Medicago truncatula: one gene and its partners. The protein of the gene in region 1 interacts with the protein of each later gene in a biochemical or structural test. Links are inferred from orthologs where the notes say so. Each region holds a gene or a part of one and is shown in the gene's direction. Other genes may lie near its edges. The genes, in order: phytochrome A; nucleoside diphosphate kinase 2, chloroplastic; protein FAR-RED ELONGATED HYPOCOTYL 1.

Region 1 (7,057 bases):
TTAACATTGTATTAACAAGAATACAATGAATAGAGCTTATTTGTGGCCATTTCTTTTTTATTTATTAGGATAAGAGTGGATGGGAGGAATGTTTGAGAATTTAGATGATTTGCCCACTCTCTCTTGGACGACAAAGGTTATAGCTGCTGGCTAGTAAGCTACCATATGGCAATGTTGATCCCGTATGTTACTGTTTATAAATCATGATGTGTCTTAATTTTATTATTTGAAAGAGATGTGTCTTAATGCATTTATACTTGGAAAATGACATAGATGACTGGTGGATGATCCCGGAAAATTGACTTTGTTCTGCTTATAATTTGACTTGATACCAGTAAACGATTATACTACTATTGTTCATTTGGATTTTGGATTAGTCGACCTTTGAAGTTTCAAAAAAGAAAATAACCGTCTTGCTAAAGTCGTTATCATCAAAACTAGTACGTACCTTTATCCATTAATTGGTTGTCGTCTTGTCGATAATAGTAGTTATCATGGGCGAATTACTAACGACCTTGACGTTATTACTTTTTAGGTTCGTTAAATAAATGATGTATGTGATCTATATTAAAGGTCACATACATCACTTATTTAATGAATTTAAAAAGTAATTTTTTTCCTTTTAATTGTGACTGAAGAGAATACTTTTTTTTATTCATCGGTTCTTGCATTTACCTATCACATTTTGCTACCAACATTCAATTTTATTGTCACTTAAAAAACATTGAATTTTTGTATTGTGATGTGGATTAATTCCTGTCAGTCCCATTTCTTTTTTGATGAATCTAAGTAAATTTCACCAAATCAATAATTTAACTTCCTTTACATTCTTTTTTAGTTTCACAATATAAAGGTTGTGATTTTGAATTTAATTTAAAGACTGATCTAATATTTCTTTTTGTCCATAAAATGAGTGGTAAACGTCATCTAAACATTTTTGTTTAACAAACAAAAATGAGATATATTACCACAATGAAACGGTTCTACTATCTAGCACAAGGAGTGCATAGAAGAGCAGAACAAAAAACAACAAGCATCTTGAATAGTACAAAAAAAGACAGTCAACCAATGCCCAAACATGCAAGAGGTTGCTGCCACCACAAATGGTAACCAAAAGGAAAACAAACTTTTTTGGCTTTCAGCCAATTCCATGAAGTAATTTTGACCTTTTCCATGAGCTGCATAATAGATGTTAATTTGTTGGAAAACAGTCTGTTATTCCTTTCAGTCCAAAGCACATAAACCGTGAATAACCAAATAAGCTGCAAAAACGATCGTCGGATCGGGGTTTAAAACCTCCCGAAGAGTAAGCAAATTGGTGAAAATGATCCATAATATGTTGGGGATCCACCGTATCCACTCAAATCCAAGTTTTTACATGATGCCATAACTCACCAAAAGTCGGGCAGTGAATTAAAAGGTGATTTGTTGTTTCGTTATTACCACAACCGAACACACATAAATGAGAATCAAACGGAATAATACCACGTCGCACCAAATTATCCTTTGTAGGCCACCTGTTGCGAAGAAGTCACCACACACAAATTGAAATCTTCAAAGGAGCATTTTTATGCCAAATTGCGTCAATAACTTCATCGTGATTATGCATCTCCTGCCTCATAAGCATTTGATACACACCACAGACTGTGTATCAATCTACCACATTAGGACGCCACTGCCATATATCAGTAGTAGTTTCCTGCAAAATAACATTAGAAAGCAAAGATATACATTCCTTCATTAGGTCCTCCTCCCAAGCCAACCACCTACGCCGCCACCCCCAAGCATCTCCACCTTCCTCCCAACCTAATAAACACATTTCCGCCACCGTCTTTTCCTTATAAACTGATAAATCAAACAACCTCCTAAACCTGTCCCTAAGTGGGACCGCCCCCACCCAACAGTCGGACCAAAAATAGGTTTTAAAGTCATCTAAACACTTACACACACAAAATATTAAGGCTAATTTAATTTATACATTGTCGATTGAGTTGGGTCACATACAAAATTGATTTGATCTAATCAATTTGAAAGGAACATACATGATTTATTCACTATATATACTCATTTATTATAAAAATAATAGGCAAAATTACTCTCATCATCCATTAAGTTAATTTGAAATAACAATTTCATTTTTTATTTTTTTCTCACGTTATTTTCGTTCTTTTGGTCAATTGGCATATAAATTTTCAAGATTCAAATCTACGATTTTATTTCGATATGAACCCTTACTCAAATATATAGTTCTTTACTCATGTTTTTTTTTTGTCAAGTAGCCTAGTAGTTAGAATTCACATTTTTCAAGGTGAATAAGTGGGGTGTCTAGGGTTCGAACTCCGGCCCTAGCATATAACAATGCATGTCCTTGTCAACTAAGTTATGCTTACGGTGACATTTTACTCATGTTTTTGTTAATAAATTTTAAATTAGTTGATCATTTTTTTAAAAAATACAATGTTTTTTAATAAAAGTCAGACGGAAATATTGATAATGAGCTGGCCCAAAGCTCAATTCAATAGACCAGCCCCATCCCATTTTTATATGGGCAAAAAATGTTCGAGTACATTTTAGATTAGCTTTTTAAACCTGTCCCAACCCAAAATGTCGATTAATGGACTGACCTATTAACTCGTCCCATTTTTTACATCTCTATTTACATAAAGATAAACAACAAGAACTTACCAAAGAAGAAATGTAAAATAAAATAAATTAAGAAACCGAATTTTTATTTTTATTTTTTATAAAAAAAAAAAAAAAAAAAAAAGGAAGAAATCTTAAAGGATAGGAAACCCGAAACCGATTAATAATGCAGTTGAGTAGTATATATGGAGGCATTTCCTTTGAGTCAGTAACGTTACAGTGGTACACGAGGCATGGGCTAATTTGATGAAAGTTTATTTATGTCAGACAGATATATTAGCTGTGAATGTGATCTAAGAGATGAATGTGATATCGAGATATAAACAGTGTCCACCAATTAAAAACAAAGGATATGATGACATGGCATTTGTGTTACTTACTTAGCCGCATATCACCAAAACTTTGAGCCTTTGCACGTGACACCCATAACTTACTCCTTTCTCCATATCCAATGTATGGGACTTGGACCCCATCCAACCAAATTCATCCACCTCATAATTAAATAAAAATTTTATTAATAAATATCTTAACTTTTTTCCACTACTTTTCTTTAGTTAGCAATTTTTTATGTTTAATTATTGTGGGTGGGGAATTAGGACTTAAAACTCAATGATTTATGAACCCTACATGTACCAAAAAAATAATTATTGAACATTGTACCAAAGTGGTGTTAAAAGAATTGACAATATGATTCTTTTTAGGAAAAGAAATTGAGTTTAACTTCTAAAATTGTTCATATAAGAGGTAACACATTTAGATAAAAATATAGATGTTTTTTTGTCGATTTGAGAATGCGGTAATACGACACGCTTACAAGTTAAATATTGTTAGAAAAGCTATCTATTTAGGAGATAGCATAATCTTGATAAAAAAAAATGCAAATACTTTATTGCGAGAGTTAAGTAATACGATGCACTTACGAGTTAAATATTGTTTGAAAAAGTCGTCTATTTAAAAGGTAGCACAATCTGATAAAAAAAACATATGTTTTATTGCGAGAATGTGGTAATACAACGCGCTTATAAGTTAAATATGGTTAGAAAAAAGTCATCTATTTAGGACGTGACACAATCCTAATAAAAAACAAATGCTTTATTGCGATAGTCCGGTAATACGACGAACTTACGAGTTACATGATTAAAAAAAAGTTAATGACCCCTATTAAAATAAATTTAAATTAAGAGCCGACATGAAATCTAAGATGGTAAGTGAATTGAGTGATGTTAGAGAAAAAGGAAGGAAAGTCAAGGAAGCAAGCAGTAACAGTAACTACCATGTTTGTTGTTTAATTAAGTGTATGTGTTATCATGCATTATTTAACTTTCTTTTTTTTCTTATCTATTTTAGGAACAAAGCCAAACAATCAACTTGCCCAAATTAGATATTTTTTTACATATACTATTATAATAATAAAAACAGCACCAAGTAGATGGATGCTGGTGTGATGAGTGAATCTATCTAAGTGTTGGATGATGATTTGATTTTTATATTCTTTATTTATCTTTATTCATTTCATTCCTTCCCATCTTCACATGGGGGGCACCATAAAAAATTGATATATTATATAGTATTTATGGCATGATGGCGGTCCCTTCTCAGTCACAATTGTGTGCTGAATTATACTGACCTTGCTTGGTTGGAGTTGTGAAGTAGAGGCTCCAGCTGGGTGGGAGACAAACAAGGGCGGTGCTTGCTGCTGCTGCTGCAGGTGCAGGGTATGGTATGGTAGTCACATACAATTGGTTATTTTAACCCTTCCTTTCTTGTACTTACTCTTTCACATCAACCAAGTTTTTCCCTTCCAACAAGGTTAGTTAGTTGTTATTTGTTCTTGTCTTGTTGAATTTGCTTCATGTGTTTCTGTTTTGTAAAAGGAAAGAGATACAATTGTTTGATGATTGTAATGATGGATTTGTTTCTGACTTGTTTGGTGTCATCATTGTTTATAGAATCAACTGACAGTACTAATCAATTTTTTTCTGAAAGTTATGATTATTAATGATTACAACCAATTTTTATACTGTCATCTTTCACTTGATGTGTGAGTTTTGTTTATTTTCTTCTATGATTGGGTCACAACTCAAATTATAACTAATTAAAACCTTACATAATTGTTAGTATTATGATTGAGAGTGCTGATTGAACCCTTAACATGTTTTATGAGGAGAGTTACAATTACAAAGATTGACATTCAAGTAAATTAGTAATAGACTTCAAAAGTTCTGCAGTATCACATATGCTCAGTGATGATTCTTATATGGTTTGGATTAACTCGGTAGTTATGTTGTTGTTTTTTTTTTTTAATCATTGTAAATGCAGTTTGTGATAAAATGTCGACCACAAGGCCTAGCCAATCATCCAACAACTCAGGGAGATCAAGAAATAGTGCTAGGATTATTGCTCAGACGACGGTAGATGCAAAACTTCATGCAACTTTTGAGGAGTCTGGTAGTTCCTTTGACTACTCAAGTTCGGTGCGCGTCTCTGGCTCAGTTGATGGAGAGCATCAACCGAGGTCCAACAAAGTAACAACAGCTTACCTCAATACAATACAAAGAGGCAAGCAGATCCAGCCTTTTGGTTGCTTGCTAGCTTTAGACGAGAAAACGTGCAAGGTTATTGCATACAGTGAGAATGCACCCGAAATGCTGACCATGGTGAGTCATGCTGTCCCTAGTGTCGGTGACCACCCTGCCCTTGGCATTGGAACTGACATAAGAACTATCTTCACCGCACCGAGTGCTTCTGCGCTACAGAAGGCACTGGGATTTGCGGAGGTTTCGCTTCTTAACCCTATCCTTGTTCATTGCAAGACTTCTGGGAAGCCATTTTATGCGATCATTCACCGTGTTACAGGTAGTTTGATCATTGACTTTGAGCCAGTGAAGCCTTACGAAGTTCCCATGACTGCAGCAGGCGCATTACAGTCTTACAAACTTGCTGCTAAAGCAATTACAAGATTGCAATCTTTGCCTAGTGGCAGCATGGAAAGGCTTTGCGATACAATGGTTCAAGAAGTTTTTGAACTAACGGGTTATGACAGGGTGATGGCTTATAAATTTCACGAGGATGATCATGGGGAGGTGATTGCTGAGGTAACAAAGACAGGCCTAGAGCCATATCTAGGATTGCACTATCCGGCCACAGATATTCCCCAGGCTGCGCGCTTTTTATTTATGAAGAACAAGGTCCGTATGATAGTTGATTGTCACGCAAAACATGTGAAGGTTCTTCAAGACGAAAAACTCCCATTTGATTTGACTTTGTGTGGTTCGACCTTAAGGGCCCCACATAGTTGCCATTTGCAGTATATGGCTAACATGGATTCAATTGCTTCCTTGGTTATGGCTGTAGTAGTCAATGACAGCGATGAAGATGGAGATAGCGCTGATGCAGTTCTCCCACAAAAGAAAAAGAGACTTTGGGGTTTGGTAGTTTGTCATAACACTACACCAAGGTTTGTTCCTTTTCCTCTAAGGTATGCTTGTGAATTTCTGGCTCAAGTATTTGCCATCCATGTGAACAAAGAAATAGAATTAGAATTTCAGATTCTTGAGAAGAATATCCTGCGCACACAGACGCTGTTGTGCGATATGCTGATGCGAGATGCACCCTTAGGTATTGTATCACAAAGCCCTAATATAATGGATCTAGTGAAATGTGATGGGGCTGCACTCTTGTATAGAAACAAGTTATGGATATTAGGAGCGACGCCGAGTGAACCTCAGATAAGAGAGATAGCTTTATGGATGTCCGAGTACCATACGGATTCGACTGGTTTGAGTACGGATAGCTTGTCTGATGCAGGGTTTCCAGGGGCTCTTAAACTTAATGATACTGTATGTGGAATGGCAGCTGTTAGAATAACTTCAAAAGACATAGTTTTCTGGTTTAGGTCGCACACCGCTGCAGAAATCCGATGGGGTGGTGCAAAGCATGAACCTGGCGAACAGGATGATGGTAGGAAGATGCATCCAAGATCATCATTTAAGGCTTTCCTCGAAGTTGTGAAGGCTAGGAGCATACCATGGAAAGACTTTGAAATGGATGCTATTCATTCGTTACAGTTAATACTGAGAAACGCGTCCAAAGATACAGATATGATTGATTTAAACTCAAAGGCAATCAATACAAGACTAAATGATTTGAAGATCGAAGGGATGCAGGAATTAGAAGCAGTGACAAGTGAGATGGTTCGATTAATTGAAACAGCAACAGTGCCTATTTTGGCAGTGGATGTTGATGGGATGGTCAATGGTTGGAATATCAAAATTTCCGAGTTGACAGGTCTTCCGGTTGGCGAAGCTATTGGAAAACATTTGCTCACACTTGTTGAGGATTCTTCAACGGATATAGTTAAGAAGATGCTTAATCTGGCACTACAGGGTATGTCTTTCTCCTTTTCCATCTTATT
Region 2 (7,193 bases), on another chromosome or scaffold:
GATTAAAATTATTTTGATTTTGATTAAAAGTATATGTTTAGATAATATTTTTATTTTTTTGAGGGATATATTTAGATAAATAGATAATAGATATTTTACGCTTTTATATTATAACAAACTATATTTATCTTTTTCAATGATACTAACAATGTAACAAATACAATATAAATTATTATCTTTTTGAATAACACTAAGAAAATAACATATTAATAGTTAAATTTATTTTAGAGTATTATTAAAAGTAAAAAAGACAACCAAAACCATGTATTTTTTCTTGTATACAATGTAGATGTTGGAATGCCGGGAGAATATATGTGTACAATGTTGGAATCCGGGGGAGTATATGTAGTTTTACAAGGACTGAGAGAGTACATTAGTAGCTATTACGTCACTGGACGAGAAATTACGTATGCCCCAAACCCTGTGTAGACGCGGTTCTTTTGTTGACCATGACAACAGCGACAAAAATAAACGTTATTTAACTGCCAACAAATTATGCTGTACTATTTTATTATCATTGTACCAAGGAAAAAAAATTATAATAATAAATAATACAATTACATCTCTAATTTCCTTTACATCTCTATTTAACACCTCATTTTATCTCTCTGTCTCTCTTTCTGTTACATCAACAATATAATTGAACGTCACTCTATTATCTCTTTCTTTTTCACGATGTCAAAGAGTTTTAGATGTCCACCTATCTTTTCTCTGAGAAATTATGCTTTACCAACTAATTAGTATAACCTCATGCATGCCGTTTGTCAAATTCCAATATCCTGGGAGCGGAAACAATGCGCTCTTGAGATTCCCTTATTCATCAAAATTCAATTTAATTTGCTATGCTATATTTCAACGTCAACAAGAGAAGTTGACAGCATATGTTACGTACTCTAATTTTGTACCAAAATATTATAATAAAGCAAACCTTGTTATTAACGTCAACAAGGTAATTTTTGCTATAAATTGTCCATCATTTGTATGTACGTTCTTTCAGAGCTTTGTTGAATATCTTTAGAAAGCAAACTTATAAAGTGTTATAGACATTAATTGAGAAATTAATATGTCACCTGCACTTTATGCTAGTACCTTCAAATGTGAGGTAGATGAAAATCCATCATTAATGGGTTCTTACTATGCTTCTTTATATCCAAATTTGCCTATTTTAGAAAACAGTGCTACTTCAACATGGATCCTTAATCCATTTTCTGATCATGAAACTGAAACCATTAGGGATCACAAGAAATTGAAAAGATCAACCGTAACTATCCCTATTTGGTTTGCTAATTTCAGCAGCCATAGTAATAGTTTCTTCAATAACATCAACAGCAATAACAACAGTGTGAATAGCATTCCAAGGCTTCATTTCAGAGATCACATAAGAACTTATAAACAAAGATATTTTGCTTCTGAAGCTGTTGAAGAAGCAGCAGAAGATAACTTCAACTACAATAATTGCGAAGCTGAAGAAGATGGTTCATGTGCTGATGGAATGAGACTAGTTCAACTTCTAATTGCATGTGCTGAAGCTGTCGCGTGTCGCGATAAATCACACGCTTCGGTTTTACTATCTGAGCTTAAATCAAATGCTTTGGTGTTTGGTTCTTCGTTTCAAAGAGTTGCTTCTTGTTTTGTTCAAGGACTCACAGAGAGACTAACTCTGATTCAACCAATTGGTAATAACTCTGCTGGATCAGATACAAAATCAATGATGAACATAATGGATGCTGCATCAGAAGAAATGGAAGAAGCATTCAAGTTGGTTTATGAAAATTGTCCACATATTCAATTTGGACATTTTGTGGCTAATTCCATAATATTGGAAGCCTTTGAGGGTGAGAGTTTTCTTCATGTGGTTGATCTTGGCATGAGCCTTGGTCTTCCACATGGACACCAATGGCGAGGACTAATTCAAAGTCTCGCGGATCGATCCAGCCACCGTGTTCGGAGGCTTAGGATCACAGCGATTGGTCTATGCATTGCTAGAATCCAAGTCATTGGTGAAGAACTCTCAATTTACGCGAAAAACTTGGGGATTCATTTGGAATTCTCAATTGTTGAGAAGAATTTGGAGAATTTGAAACCTAAGGACATAAAAGTGAATGAAAAAGAGGTCCTTGTGGTTAACAGCATTCTTCAATTGCATTGTGTTGTTAAAGAGAGTCGTGGCGCTTTGAATGCGGTTTTACAAATGATACACGGTCTTTCACCGAAAGTGTTGGTTATGGCTGAGCAAGATTCTGGTCATAATGGACCTTTTTTCCTTGGAAGGTTTATGGAATCATTGCATTATTATTCTGCTATTTTTGACTCATTGGATGCTATGCTGCCAAAGTATGACACTAAGAGGGCAAAAATGGAACAGTTTTATTTTGCTGAGGAGATAAAGAACATTGTGAGCTGTGAAGGACCATTGAGGATGGAGAGGCATGAGAAAGTTGATCAGTGGAGGAGGAGAATGAGTAGGGCTGGATTTCAAGGTTCACCTATTAAGATGGTGGTTCAAGCTAAGCAGTGGCTTGTGAAGAATAATGTTTGTGATGGATATACTGTTGTGGAAGAGAAAGGGTGTTTGGTTCTTGGATGGAAATCAAAGCCTATTGTTGCAGTTTCTTGCTGGAAATGCTGAATGACCTCTTTTTAGTTCTGTCAATAAATAACAGTTCTGTGAGAAGCTGTTATATGTGTTTGAATAATTTGTTTTTGTGTGCATGTTGTGAATTTAAGACCCTATATTAGTAGCTTGTGAAAGTACTGAAATATTTAGGGCGAGAATAAAACTTTTGATGTAATTCTGTGTGTGGTGTGGCTGCTTGAGATGGAGCAGAAATAAAGTGATGACTAATTATTGTTGTGTGCATAACATGTGTAGGAGTTTGATGAGATGTAAATCCTACTAACATTTATTTGATTCAATTTTTCAATGAACTTAATAATACTCTCTCCAAAAAATTCCTGTATTTGTTGGTTAATGTTGGCCATTTATTTCATGTAGGTATATGTATATCCAAGCCTATCTTTTAGCACTAAGTTCATTCAATTTTTTTTTTTGTTTGAAGGGAATTTCATTCATATTTGTGTTCTAAAACACAATGTACTAGAAAAAGAGTTCATTATGGATAGCATGGCCTGAGGTGGCCAAGAGTGGAGGGGCTGCAAATGCAGAGTGTGATAGAGGAATGTGGGCATATCCGCAAAATATACCTCAAAGGTGCATTGGTAAAATAAATTTTAGACAATTTTCATATTTGTCATTATATATTATCTTTAAAATAAAATGATAAAATGCCAAATTTAATAATTTAAATATTGATATAATGTTTCCCTAAAAAAGTCTATTGATATAATGTTAAAATGGTAGCATTTATATACAAAACATGTACTCGCTTTGTCGCTCTTATCTCGTTAGTCGTTACTTCTTCCTTCGCCTAAACTAGTCGTATTTCTAAGCTTTGTTTGAGAGTTTGGAGGGGAGGGGAGGGGAGTGTTTTGAGGGATGAGAAATATATATAAAAATGAAGAAATTTTTCACTTTTTTTTTTAAAGAGAACTAATGTTTATGATTAATACATTTTTAATTTTAAAAATATTAGTATAACAACAAATATTGAATTTGAAAAATTCATATAAACACTCCAAATCCCTTCCTCAATGCATTTTTTTTTTCTTCAGTTCTTTAAAATTATAAGAATTATATGTTATGAATAAAAATTAACCCCAATATCTTCTTTTTCATTCCTTTTTATTCAAAACACTCCCCTCCCCTCCAACCTCTAAAAAAAAAAACCGTAAGTTAATCTCAATTCTTTCAATTGATTGAGAAATTTATTTAATAATAAAAAAGAATTTGTAAAGAGAAACTATCATCTATTGACAAGTGGTAAATTCTGTAAATAAAAAAAAAAAAAAGACAAGTGGTAAATTCATGAATTTAGTGTCTAACTTTTTTGAAAAGGATAATAATCAAATCAACTTGATATTAATAATAATTAATTGAAGTAGACAGAAGAATTTGTAATTACATTCTTTCTTTCCTTGTTAAAAAATTACATTATTTTTTTCTAAAAAAAACAATTTTTGTATCATTTTTTTCTCGATAATCTTTTGATTTTTATCATTATATTAAAAAAAAAAAAAAAAAAAACAGTAGTATAGTTTAAAAATTACCAAAGTCGCTTTCTTTCTGACTTGCCACATCCAAATCCAAACTCCAAAGAACATCGTTGTTCCACAGCCGCGACGCAAAGAGAGGAAGAAGAGAAATGGAAGCCATGGGCGTGTTTTGCGGAACCAATAGTATCTATGTCACATCCTCTCAATTACGCACCTCAAACACAAACACAAGAAGCTCTCAATTACGCACCACCCAACACCTTTCTGCATTTCCTTCTAAATCCCATCTTTTTTCATCTTCTACTTCTTCTTCCTATGCCAAAACCATCCGCACTAAAAGCTCCACCAATACCGGCATTTTCCTTCCCCACTTAATTGCTTCTCTCGTATGTTCTCTTTTTCTACTCGCCAATTTGCTCAATTTATTATCACTCTGTGTGTGTAATTCTATATATATATATATATATATATTTTTTTTTTTTTTAATGTTTGTGCAGGAACAAGTTGACCGAACTTATATTATGGTGAAACCCGATGGCGTGCAACGTGGTCTTGTAAGTCTCTTAATTTCATATGTTCTGGTTTCAGACATTAAGGGATGAAACAAAAATTAAAAAATTGAAGTTTAAGGTTATAATTGTTGTTTTGTTGAATTGGTTTAGGTGGGTGAAATTATTTCTAGGTTTGAGAAGAAGGGGTTTAAGTTAATTGGCTTGAAGCTCTTTCAATGCTCTAAAGAATTAGCTGAGGTTTGTCTACTTTCTTCAATACTTGCTTGTTTGTATATCCATGATGTCTTATGCTCAATTTATTTTTCTTGCTGTATATGGGGTTCAATTTGTAAAGGAGAATGACAGGGTTCAATATATTACATTGATATAAATACTATCTATTATTAATATGATGGGCTGCTTAACCTAATTGTGCTTTTCATAATAATAAAAATCATCTATAAGATTATTGACTCTTATTAAATAGAGCAGTAAAATGAGAAGATTGCTTTCTCAATTAGCAAACTTATTGATTACACAGTATACGCTAAATATCTTTTAAGATACTCCAAGATATACCATAGTGATGTATTGTTAACACTCTCCCTCTAAGGTATAGCTTGTTATTGTTAATCTTTAAGTTATCCGGAGAGACACTCTTGTTAGGGTGATGCAGTTGCAAGGGTGTTCAATTGGAGAGGAGGTAAATAGGATTTCAAGTAAAGCCAATCTGCATAAAAGACAAGACCTAAATAAAATCAATCTGCGTAACAAGATGGAGTAGAGCCAACACGCTCTAAGATAGGTATAAAGTAGTCGATCTGTGGTGAGAAGGGGATTGGAACAGAGTTAATTAAACAGCTTTAAAACTAGCCGGAGCAGAGCAAAAAGAGATCAAACATGAATGTCAGGGTCTGGTTCCATAAACTTGATAGTACAAGAAAGTCTCTTCAAGATGGATACCATGGCCTAATTATGGGTTTTAGGTAGGGAAGGACAAAAAGAGAGACAGGAGACCTGTAGTAATCTATTAATTTGGTATGATGTATGATGCAAAATATTAACTCAATGTCCTATTAACCCTAATTAAATGAAGAAAAGCACTAAGAGTATTGCTTTCTCAACTAGAATCCATGACATATTGTGAAGTTCATTGAAGGTATTCTCTGTATTTTAGAACTATTCTGAATATGTTTCCATAAAAGTATTGAGTATAGTTGCATGAAATGTCACAATATCAGGTGCTTGAGTAACTAATTCCAACCATCCAGTTACAAAATCCAATTGTATCCATATTTTCATGGTTGCTTACTACTCCCTCCGGTCCTTTATACAAGAAACAAAAAACATAAAACATCAACACCAAGAAATTACATTGAAAATAGTCATCTTCATTTAATACACTTCTACATTTAAAATAATTCTATGAATACCCTTAAATTAATTACTCTTTATTCCATCAACTTACTTACTTTTAATATTCTCTCTCATAATCAATAAGGGCACAAATGAAATTTAGCTTCAAACATATTTGAAACTTGATCAATCTTCTTATAAAAAGGACCAAAAAAATTCTCACTTTTGTTTCTAATAAAAAGGACCGGAGGTAGTATTTTTTTTGGTGGTGGCCGGGGTTTGAACCTCAGACCTTGCATATATTATGCATTGTCCATACCAACTGAGTTAAGCTCACGAGGACCATGGTTGCTTACTATACCAATATGATATAGAGTATAGACCTACATCTTATGTTTGCAATAATGTTGGTTCAGTTTGTGATGTTTGTCTTATGTTCAACTGTTAATTTGCTATTTACACATGGATGGCTTATTGTGACTGTTTATGGTTTCAGGAGCATTACAAGGACCTAAATCAAAGGTCTTTCTTCCCTAAGCTGAGTGAATATATTACTTCGGGCCCCGTTGTGTCTATGGTATAACTCTTTCCACTAGTATCCCATTTTCAATGAGGGTTTCACAGTATACCTGTTGAATGTACTTTCTGGTTTTATGTTTGCAAGGCTTGGGAGGGTGTTGGAGTAGTGCCATCAGCACGTAAGCTTATAGGAGCAACAAATCCTCTGCAAGCAGAACCAGGCACAATAAGAGGAGACTTTGCTGTTGAAACAGGAAGGTAAGGACTTTTCACATCTGATTTGTGAATTTTGTGAGCCTTGGTCAAGAATCAAAATAAGATTCATAGGGTGTGTTTTTCTGGTTGATTTGAGGATGTGGACTGACAAGATCTTATGATGAACTTTTGGCAGGAATGTTATCCATGGCAGTGACAGCCCTGAAAATGGCGAGCGTGAAATAGGTAAGGCCTCTTATAGTATCAGGATTCAGTTTAACCCAATAAATGCAACAAAAAGGATTGTGGATTGCAAAAGAGAATATCATTGTGTGCCGTTAATTTATATATTAGCAGGTTTAAAGAGTATTACAAATACAAAATAAAGCTTTAAATTTCATTTGTTGTTTTAAGCATTTGTCCTGGAAACAACCTTGGTGCAAGGTAAAGTTGTTGTCACGTGACTGAAAGGTCACGGGTTCAAGTCCAGGAAACAACCTCTTGTGTAAGAAACACGGT
Region 3 (7,516 bases), on another chromosome or scaffold:
CTTAAGTTCTTTAACTACCTTGACTCTTTTACTCTTTCACTTAATGGTATTGCTAAACTCATTATTGGCTTAAGGAGATTATGTATAACCTCATCAATTACTCAGAAAAGCACCTACTTCATATCCACTTTTATGATCGTCTTATACCCCTTTCACTAAATCATGTGTTTTTAGACTCACCACGTACCCACACTATTTGCTCTATTGAAGTCTCATCTTGTAAACCTTAGTTAACTAGATATCTTTTCTCTCTATTATTTTCACCACTGACATTGTCCAATGTTTTAACTCCTACTCGCAACATAACCCACTTAATCATTTATTTGTCACCCTAAACAAGATATGACATCGGTATTACTCGTCATTCACAAACATCATTTATTACATCATTCATCATCTTCATTCAAAAATTGTCATCTCAACATATATCTTCATCATATATACGACAGTAACCTCTCATCAGTAAACAACATCTTACACGAACATATGTACACATCACATTCCTTTGTTATTCATTACTAAATTTGGAATCTACTCTCATCATTCGTTCTCTCCATTACTACCTCTTTCATTCTAATAATATACCCTATTCTCCATTCTAATTTAAGTGTTTACCTCTCTACTAATATTCCTCGTAGCGTCATCCATATTATCTTTCACTTCCTATTTCCAAGTTATCTTGAAATTATTAATTTCTCATAGGCAATTATCTTCGGTTCATATTTAAGCTTGTTATTATCTTGATGTAAGCACTTCTACTTATGCTCGAACACACTCCCTCATCTATATATGTAATTTAGAGGTCATTACATTTACTTTACACACTAATGGCTTTCTTAAAATCACTACTATTTTTATAGATGTTGAAGATTCCACTAAAAGGATTGTACTGAAATTTCATTAACAACGTATCATGATCCAGGTGCGGTGTTTAAATCATAACTCAAGTTCTAGAGGGACTAATGGATTCCATCCAATGGTAAATTAAATCTAACACCTTTATCTACATCTTTCATGAATAAACCTAAATCCAATTATGTACAGAGAAGCGTGGAAAGATTGGCTTCCCTGAACCTAGGCAGATCGCTTGACCGTGCTGACCCCTGTGTAGTATTTCGATCTTAACTAACGTTTTGGATGTCTTCTTGAGGTGAGACCAAAGCCATTGGAAAGCTAAGACATATACCTACAACTTTTGTGTTTACACCAAAACCCAGTTCAAAACGGAAAATGGTTAAACAAAACAGTTTTTATTTGTTAAGTTGGGCTGACAAAATCGGGGACCGAATTTCCAAAATCGGGGCCCGATTTTTGTCGAATCAAAACACTAAAATTTTGAACCAAAATTGGTGGCCGATTTTGGCTGACAGACAATCGACCAAAAACAGTTCAAAATTGCGTTTTCTTCCAATTAATCACTTTTAACTCACTTAGCTCAATCCCTACCCACCCAAATTGTCCCTAATTATCACTCTAGGTTTACCCTATTGTTTGAGAATTAATTCCCTCTTAACCTATCCAATTTTACTTTCGTTCAGAGTCATGGTCTTAACTATAATCTCTAAACTAGGTTATCTTAACAAAACTCTTTGAACAACAATTTTACATCAGTTCATCATAATTTTTAGTGAAACTCCTCCTCATAACAACAATCATAACTTTAAAATTAATTAACTTCAACAACGCTCTCATCACCATCATAACAACACTCCTACTATAACCCCTTTACATCCCCACAAGCCAATATTAAACCCTAGAGATGAAGAGATTCTCCCCCTTACCTCGAATCCGTAGAAACCTTCGGTTTGGCTCGATGTTGTTGCACTAGGGTTCCGCTTCTCTCTGTCTGCTTTTCTTCTCCCTTTTCTCTGATTAGAAAAACTGATTTCTAATCCCTAATATTCCTATTTATATTTGGGCTCACCATTCGCTATAATTGTCTTCCTTTCCTACGCACTATGATGACATCTCGTAATTACGTAATTTTATGTGTAAACTGAGCACAAATTGGAGTTCACAATTATGCAGCAAAAAGATGAGAAAAACTGAGGAAAATGCAAAGAAGCAAAACGTGTCACGATTTGCCAAAAACGTGACACGATTTGAGAAGACCAAAAACATGTTCTCTGGAATGCAAAAACGTGTCACGATGGCAAAAACGTGACACGATTCTAAGAAACCCTAATTCAGCTGTTTGTTACGATTTGGATAAAGCAAGGTGCGATTTTGAGACTACAAGACGACTATAAGGGCGATTTCTTCACTCTTTTACCAATTCATGCATGTATTGAATCCTCTAATGATTATGTTATTTGTAAACACCATTATGAGTAGCTAAATCCATTAGAAGTTAGGTCTGATATGATTCTTTTTAACCCTAATTGAAACATGTTGTTGCGAAACTCTATTTATTGTGAATGATAATCTAGTTTTTATTCAATTCAATTGTTCTTAATGCTTTTTATATTCTGATCAAATATAAACATGATTTAGTGAGAACGAATGACTACTGACCCTAGCTTTCGACTTACACCTAATTGAATTATTCTAATAAACATGGTTAGTCTAGGAATGAATAATCCTTTATTAGTGATATTAGGTTAATTATCGTGGAACTAGTGAATCATTCATAAGAATAGATGCAGTATATCAATTAGGGGAACATCAATGATTCGAAAGACCTAAACTCATCTATCTTATTCTTAAAACCAATCTTTATTTTCTGTCATTAATTTTATGCCATCAAATCAAATCTAAACAAAATAATTTATACATCCTAAATATTTACTATATTGCTAAATTGAGATTAACAAAGTCCTCGTGTACGAACTTATTTTATTACTTCGATGCATTTTTAGTACACTTACTAAAAATCTATCACACTACTCTTTTACTTCTCCCCTCCCCCACTTATTATAATCTTACTTTCTACACCCACGACTCTTTATTTATTTTGTTAGGACACTCCTCCTCGTTGCATTTAATTTTCTCAAACCACTTCCCACTCCACGTCATTATTTCTATTTTCTCAACAATAAAATAATACTCAAGCACAAGAGCAATCAACAATAAAATTAATCAAAACTCCAGCTATTAAACATCATTGAATTAATTAAAAATAGAAAATTAGGGTGTTACAACTTGCATCACCTTTTTTTTGTTAACATTTCAGTTCATAGGGAAAAGGATCTTGACAATCCGAAATTCGATCGAAATGTAAGTAAAGTTTGGTTAAAAATTGTTCTGCCTTAGAATAGAACTCATGTTCTTTTGAACAATCAATCCTTCTATAAAGTTCATTAACCACTGAAGTTCATATTAAAAAATGCAAATTTTTGCTTTCAATGACAGTCAACACCTATTTCAACGTGAGAATGATTTATTTATAATTATATTTAAATAATGTAAGAATAAATCATGCAATGGATACCTAAAATATAAAACATACTTCGCCCTTCTAAAATAACTTAATAATTTGATCATTTCACACATATTAAGAAAAATATATAAGTGAAAGAAGTTAAAATCGTTTTAAATGTTTTTGTCGAGTATTGATACATTTACAATTATCATAAATGCAAAATACGAAGTATTGAATTAGAGTGATAAAGTTAGTAGTATTAATTAGAAGTATAATTGAAAAAAAAAAGTAATTAATATTGTTTTGAAAAGTAAAATGAATCATTTATTTGAGGAGAATTTTTTTTCTTTTTACAAATAACTTGATTATTTTAATACAAAGGGAGTGGTTTTTTCAAATAATTTAATGACAAAACTCACATTCAATAAACTAAGTTTCAATATATCAAATATCCATAGAATTACTATCTAAGTCGTGATTATGGGATCAAACTTAAAATATTTGTGTGAATCATATATGATATGTGCACAACTAAATAGATTCAAGAAGACCCCAGTAAATAACAAAACTAATTTTCAAAAATTTAACATTTCTGCATTTTTTTTATTGGATTCAATCTCAGAACATTTGGTTAAATTATAAATATATGTTTATTCTCTATAATATTAGTAGTTTCTGGTTTATCTTCCTATAAAAAAAATTCTTTAGATTCCAACAATGTAATTTGAAGATTATGTGTTTTTGAACCTTTATGAATTTTGACTGTACAAAATCATGATATGACATGTGATAAACCAAAATTCTCTCAAATTACAAGGAGGATAAAAATACTTTAAATTTTATAATTTGATATCATAAAAGTCCAAAGCTAAATAATCTTCAAATTGCAGAGTTGAAATCTAAAGAAATTTGTCTCCGTGAGCTTAATTCAATTGGTAGGAACATTGCATAATTTATGCAGGGGTATGGATTCGAACCTCTGACACCCTATTTATCCATATTTAAAATGTGTGAGCTCCAGCTATTAAGTCGCTTAAAAAAAATCTACAGAAATATTTTTAGAGTTGTATTATATGTACAACCAAAATTGAACAACTAATGCAACACCCTTTGATAATGTGAGAAGCACGCAAATCAAAATCATTAAAAATATATTTAAAAATTGCAAAAGAGTTGTTGATTGTATCAAAATGATGTTCATATATCATTGCTCATATTTTTTATGGGAGGCAAACATATATTAACCTTAAATTATAAGAGATGATTTAACACTCATCACTACATTGCACATGAACAACTCACACGTCACCATGTTTACAACTAACAAGTGGCCATCAAACCCTATCCTCAACCATACTTTCCCACGTGAAATTGCTCCAAAGTCCAACCTAAAAAATGTGCAACTCACGCGCCATGGACACTATTTTGGTAATAAACAACAAGAAGACAGAGCAAAGTGTGGGTGATAAATTCTCGGATATTCTCAGCATGGCATCCTTAAAGTAACTTTTCCTTTCCACTTTCTCTCAACCTCAAGAACCTTGTCTAGTTTTGGTTTTTCATCACAGTCCTTGGTTTTACTCATGGAGATTGAAGCAAGAACAAAGATCCCTTCTCAAGTTAACAGGTTTTTCCATCTGGGGTGTTCAAGATTTTTCTTGTTTTTTTACTGTGTTTAATCACTGTTTGTTTTACTTTTTCTTGTATTATATGTCATAGATTTGATGATATTGTTTATCTTTATCTTATCCAATTTGGTATTGTAATTCATAGTAGTGGAATTTTGAAAATGTTAGAAACTATCGTTGGATCCTACACAACCCTACAAAACCGGCTTGTGAGATGAGAATTGTCACGGCTCATAAACACATGTTCATACCATCTTTTGTCTGATATGAGACTCTTGTAAATTCACATTTTTTTGGTACCTTTATGTTCTGGTTTGTCATTTATGCTTCAAATGATTAGTGATTAAGTTTTTCATTTGACACACTAATTAGATTACTTCCTAAGAAAGTTTGTAGATTACCATATTTTATTTTTTTCAGTTTATTGAACTTTTCTAGTTAGAGGTGCTATTATTTGTTTTCAGATCACAATAAGTCACAAAAGAAGCTAATAGGGTTTTACTGGCTTTGTCTAATGTGCACAATTAAATTACTCTTGCATTATGCACGGATTTGTTTTTCACCATTGTATCAATATGTCTCATCATATATCGTTTGATCTAATAATAACACTTATTGATCAAGGTGAAAACAAGTTTGAACATCGTGCAAGACTTGTCTCAGTTGTGCACTTATTTTGTTTGTTTGTCGATGCATAGCGCACGCTTGATAAATTGATTTTAGCATAGGAAAAGTTGTAGGTTAAGGAATGATCTTCCATGATTAAACTGAGTTAAAAGTTAGTTGAATAAAAATCTTGTCTATGAGGTCTCACTTCCGTGGTAAGAGTTTGACTTTATAACCTAAAGGGACGAAGTTCAAATCCCTGATGAGAAAGTTGTAAAATGTTCATTCCATTATTTGTTATATTATTGTCATGATTTATCTTTTTTCTTCTTTTCAACTGACATTTTTCAAAAACTGTTTCCAGATTCCATGTTGATGAAATGCATGACATCAACATTATTGAATGGAACAAGAAAAGAAAATTACAGGGTTTTCAGTTAGATATGCTTAGACCAAAACATAAATGCCGGGTTGAGAGTTTCTCTTCAGAAGATACATCAATGTCTGATGAAAGTCCAATTTTTGGTAGTGCGAACAACCACACGGTTAATAGCAGAATGGATGTTGCGTTCCTCGATGATAGATCCGAACCCGAATCTGCCAAAGATAGTAATAGTTTTATTGAAGACTCTGATACTTCCATGTCTATAAATGAAGAAGCCAAACTTGAGGCAGATAGTGCAAATACATATTCATCCTATGATGATCTTGATTCACAAGCATTCAAAAATCCGGAGGAGCATCTTCAGGTATATGCAGAGTATGTTAAAGACAGCGGTGATGATCAATCTATAGATAAGGAATTTGAAGATTTTCTTTTTTCTAATGGCGTGAATCCTGACAAGTATGTCCTTTCATCTGGACGATTGTTACTAAACGAAGGTATGCATTATATATGAGAGAGATAGGATCATGCTAGAACTTGTGAAATTAGTTTCTTGGTTAATTGCATGCCTTTGATAAACAATTCCGGTTAGTAAATGTTAGGCTCACATTTGATAATGTTTTAAATGCAGAAGCTGAATCAAGTACAAAGCCGCCGCCGCCGACAATTGATCAAGAATTTGAGGAGTACTTTTCCGCACTTATGCTCTAGCAGAAATTATTTAGGGGGTAGATCTATATATAATTCTGACCAGTGTTGTCAATTGTGGAATGCAGAAAATAGCGGTTTCTTCAAATTCTGCTATACTACAGTGCTATAACGCTGTTATTTAACAACACTTTGTACAAACTAGTGTGTTGCAGAACAATAACAATTTGTTCAAAATCTGATACGCTATAGCGCAACTATAGCCACTATTTGACACCGCTGATTCTGACAATGGAAGTTGTATATATTACTTGTATGAAGATTTTCACCTTTTCAGAAGGTAGTTCAAGATTTCTTCTTCTGGCCTTCCCACATCTCTGTTTGCTGCATTATTTTCCTTCTGCATTAATTTCCTTGATGATGCTGTACTTCTCGAATTATCTTCTACTAGATTTTAATGTGGACAATGTGCAGAAGAATAAATGAAAATTATTTGAAATTTTTTTTGGTTATTGTGTAGTATATAATCTTTCAGATTATCATGTTAAAGTAAAAATTGTGAGTATCTGCACTAAAATGAATTGGAGTCTATAGTAAGATATAAACAAACTTCTTTGAAATTTGGAATTTAATTTAGAATTTTGAGCAACTTTTTATACAATCACATAAACTAGAATTGAAACATATAGATGTTGCATCTTCTGAGAGTTTGTTGCAGTTAGTTACAAGTTTTTACATTATTTTGTTCTCAGTTGCAGCTTGTTTCAAGGGGTTATATAAATTGTATTGCATATCTCTATGTGGAGAATGTGAAGGGTGAGATAAACTCAACTTTGTGAAAAGAAAATTAGAGTGATTGAGCTTGATCTTGTATTGTTCCTGTCATTG

What was found.
Region 2: the proteins of phytochrome A (region 1) and nucleoside diphosphate kinase 2, chloroplastic form a complex in vitro, tested with the Arabidopsis thaliana proteins (2 studies listed by BioGRID). The link is inferred for Medicago truncatula from reciprocal best matches to the Arabidopsis thaliana genes PHYA and NDPK2.
Region 3: the proteins of phytochrome A (region 1) and protein FAR-RED ELONGATED HYPOCOTYL 1 form a complex in vitro, tested with the Arabidopsis thaliana proteins (2 studies listed by BioGRID, with this or other methods). The link is inferred for Medicago truncatula from reciprocal best matches to the Arabidopsis thaliana genes PHYA and FHY1.

What each region holds. Positions count from the first base shown.
Region 1 is NC_053042.1:41,897,595-41,904,651, reverse strand, and holds the start of phytochrome A, read left to right. Parts: upstream 1-4,009; 5' UTR 4,010-4,452; intron 4,453-4,962; 5' UTR 4,963-4,973; coding exon 4,974-7,029; intron 7,030-7,057. UniProt on the Arabidopsis thaliana protein: Regulatory photoreceptor which exists in two forms that are reversibly interconvertible by light: the Pr form that absorbs maximally in the red region of the spectrum and the Pfr form that absorbs maximally in the far-red region.
Region 2 is NC_053045.1:50,982,490-50,989,682, forward strand, and holds the start of nucleoside diphosphate kinase 2, chloroplastic, read left to right. Parts: upstream 1-4,179; 5' UTR 4,180-4,262; coding exon 4,263-4,499; intron 4,500-4,610; coding exon 4,611-4,667; intron 4,668-4,775; coding exon 4,776-4,862; intron 4,863-6,456; coding exon 6,457-6,537; intron 6,538-6,624; coding exon 6,625-6,737; intron 6,738-6,870; coding exon 6,871-6,920; intron 6,921-7,193. Other genes in the region: GRAS family protein RAD1, read left to right, coding at 1,124-2,629. UniProt on the Arabidopsis thaliana protein: Major role in the synthesis of nucleoside triphosphates other than ATP. The ATP gamma phosphate is transferred to the NDP beta phosphate via a ping-pong mechanism, using a phosphorylated active-site intermediate. May activate MPK3 and MPK6.
Region 3 is NC_053048.1:29,068,608-29,076,123, reverse strand, and holds protein FAR-RED ELONGATED HYPOCOTYL 1, read left to right. Parts: upstream 1-4,727; 5' UTR 4,728-4,944; coding exon 4,945-4,988; intron 4,989-5,959; coding exon 5,960-6,477; intron 6,478-6,611; coding exon 6,612-6,691; 3' UTR 6,692-7,000; downstream 7,001-7,516. UniProt on the Arabidopsis thaliana protein: Key regulator of far red / red (FR/R) spectrum-specific responses essential for the adaption to changing light conditions (e.g. de-etiolation), essentially by regulating PHYA shuttling from the cytoplasm to the nucleus and by directly regulating the expression of some target genes, depending on light conditions and phosphorylation status.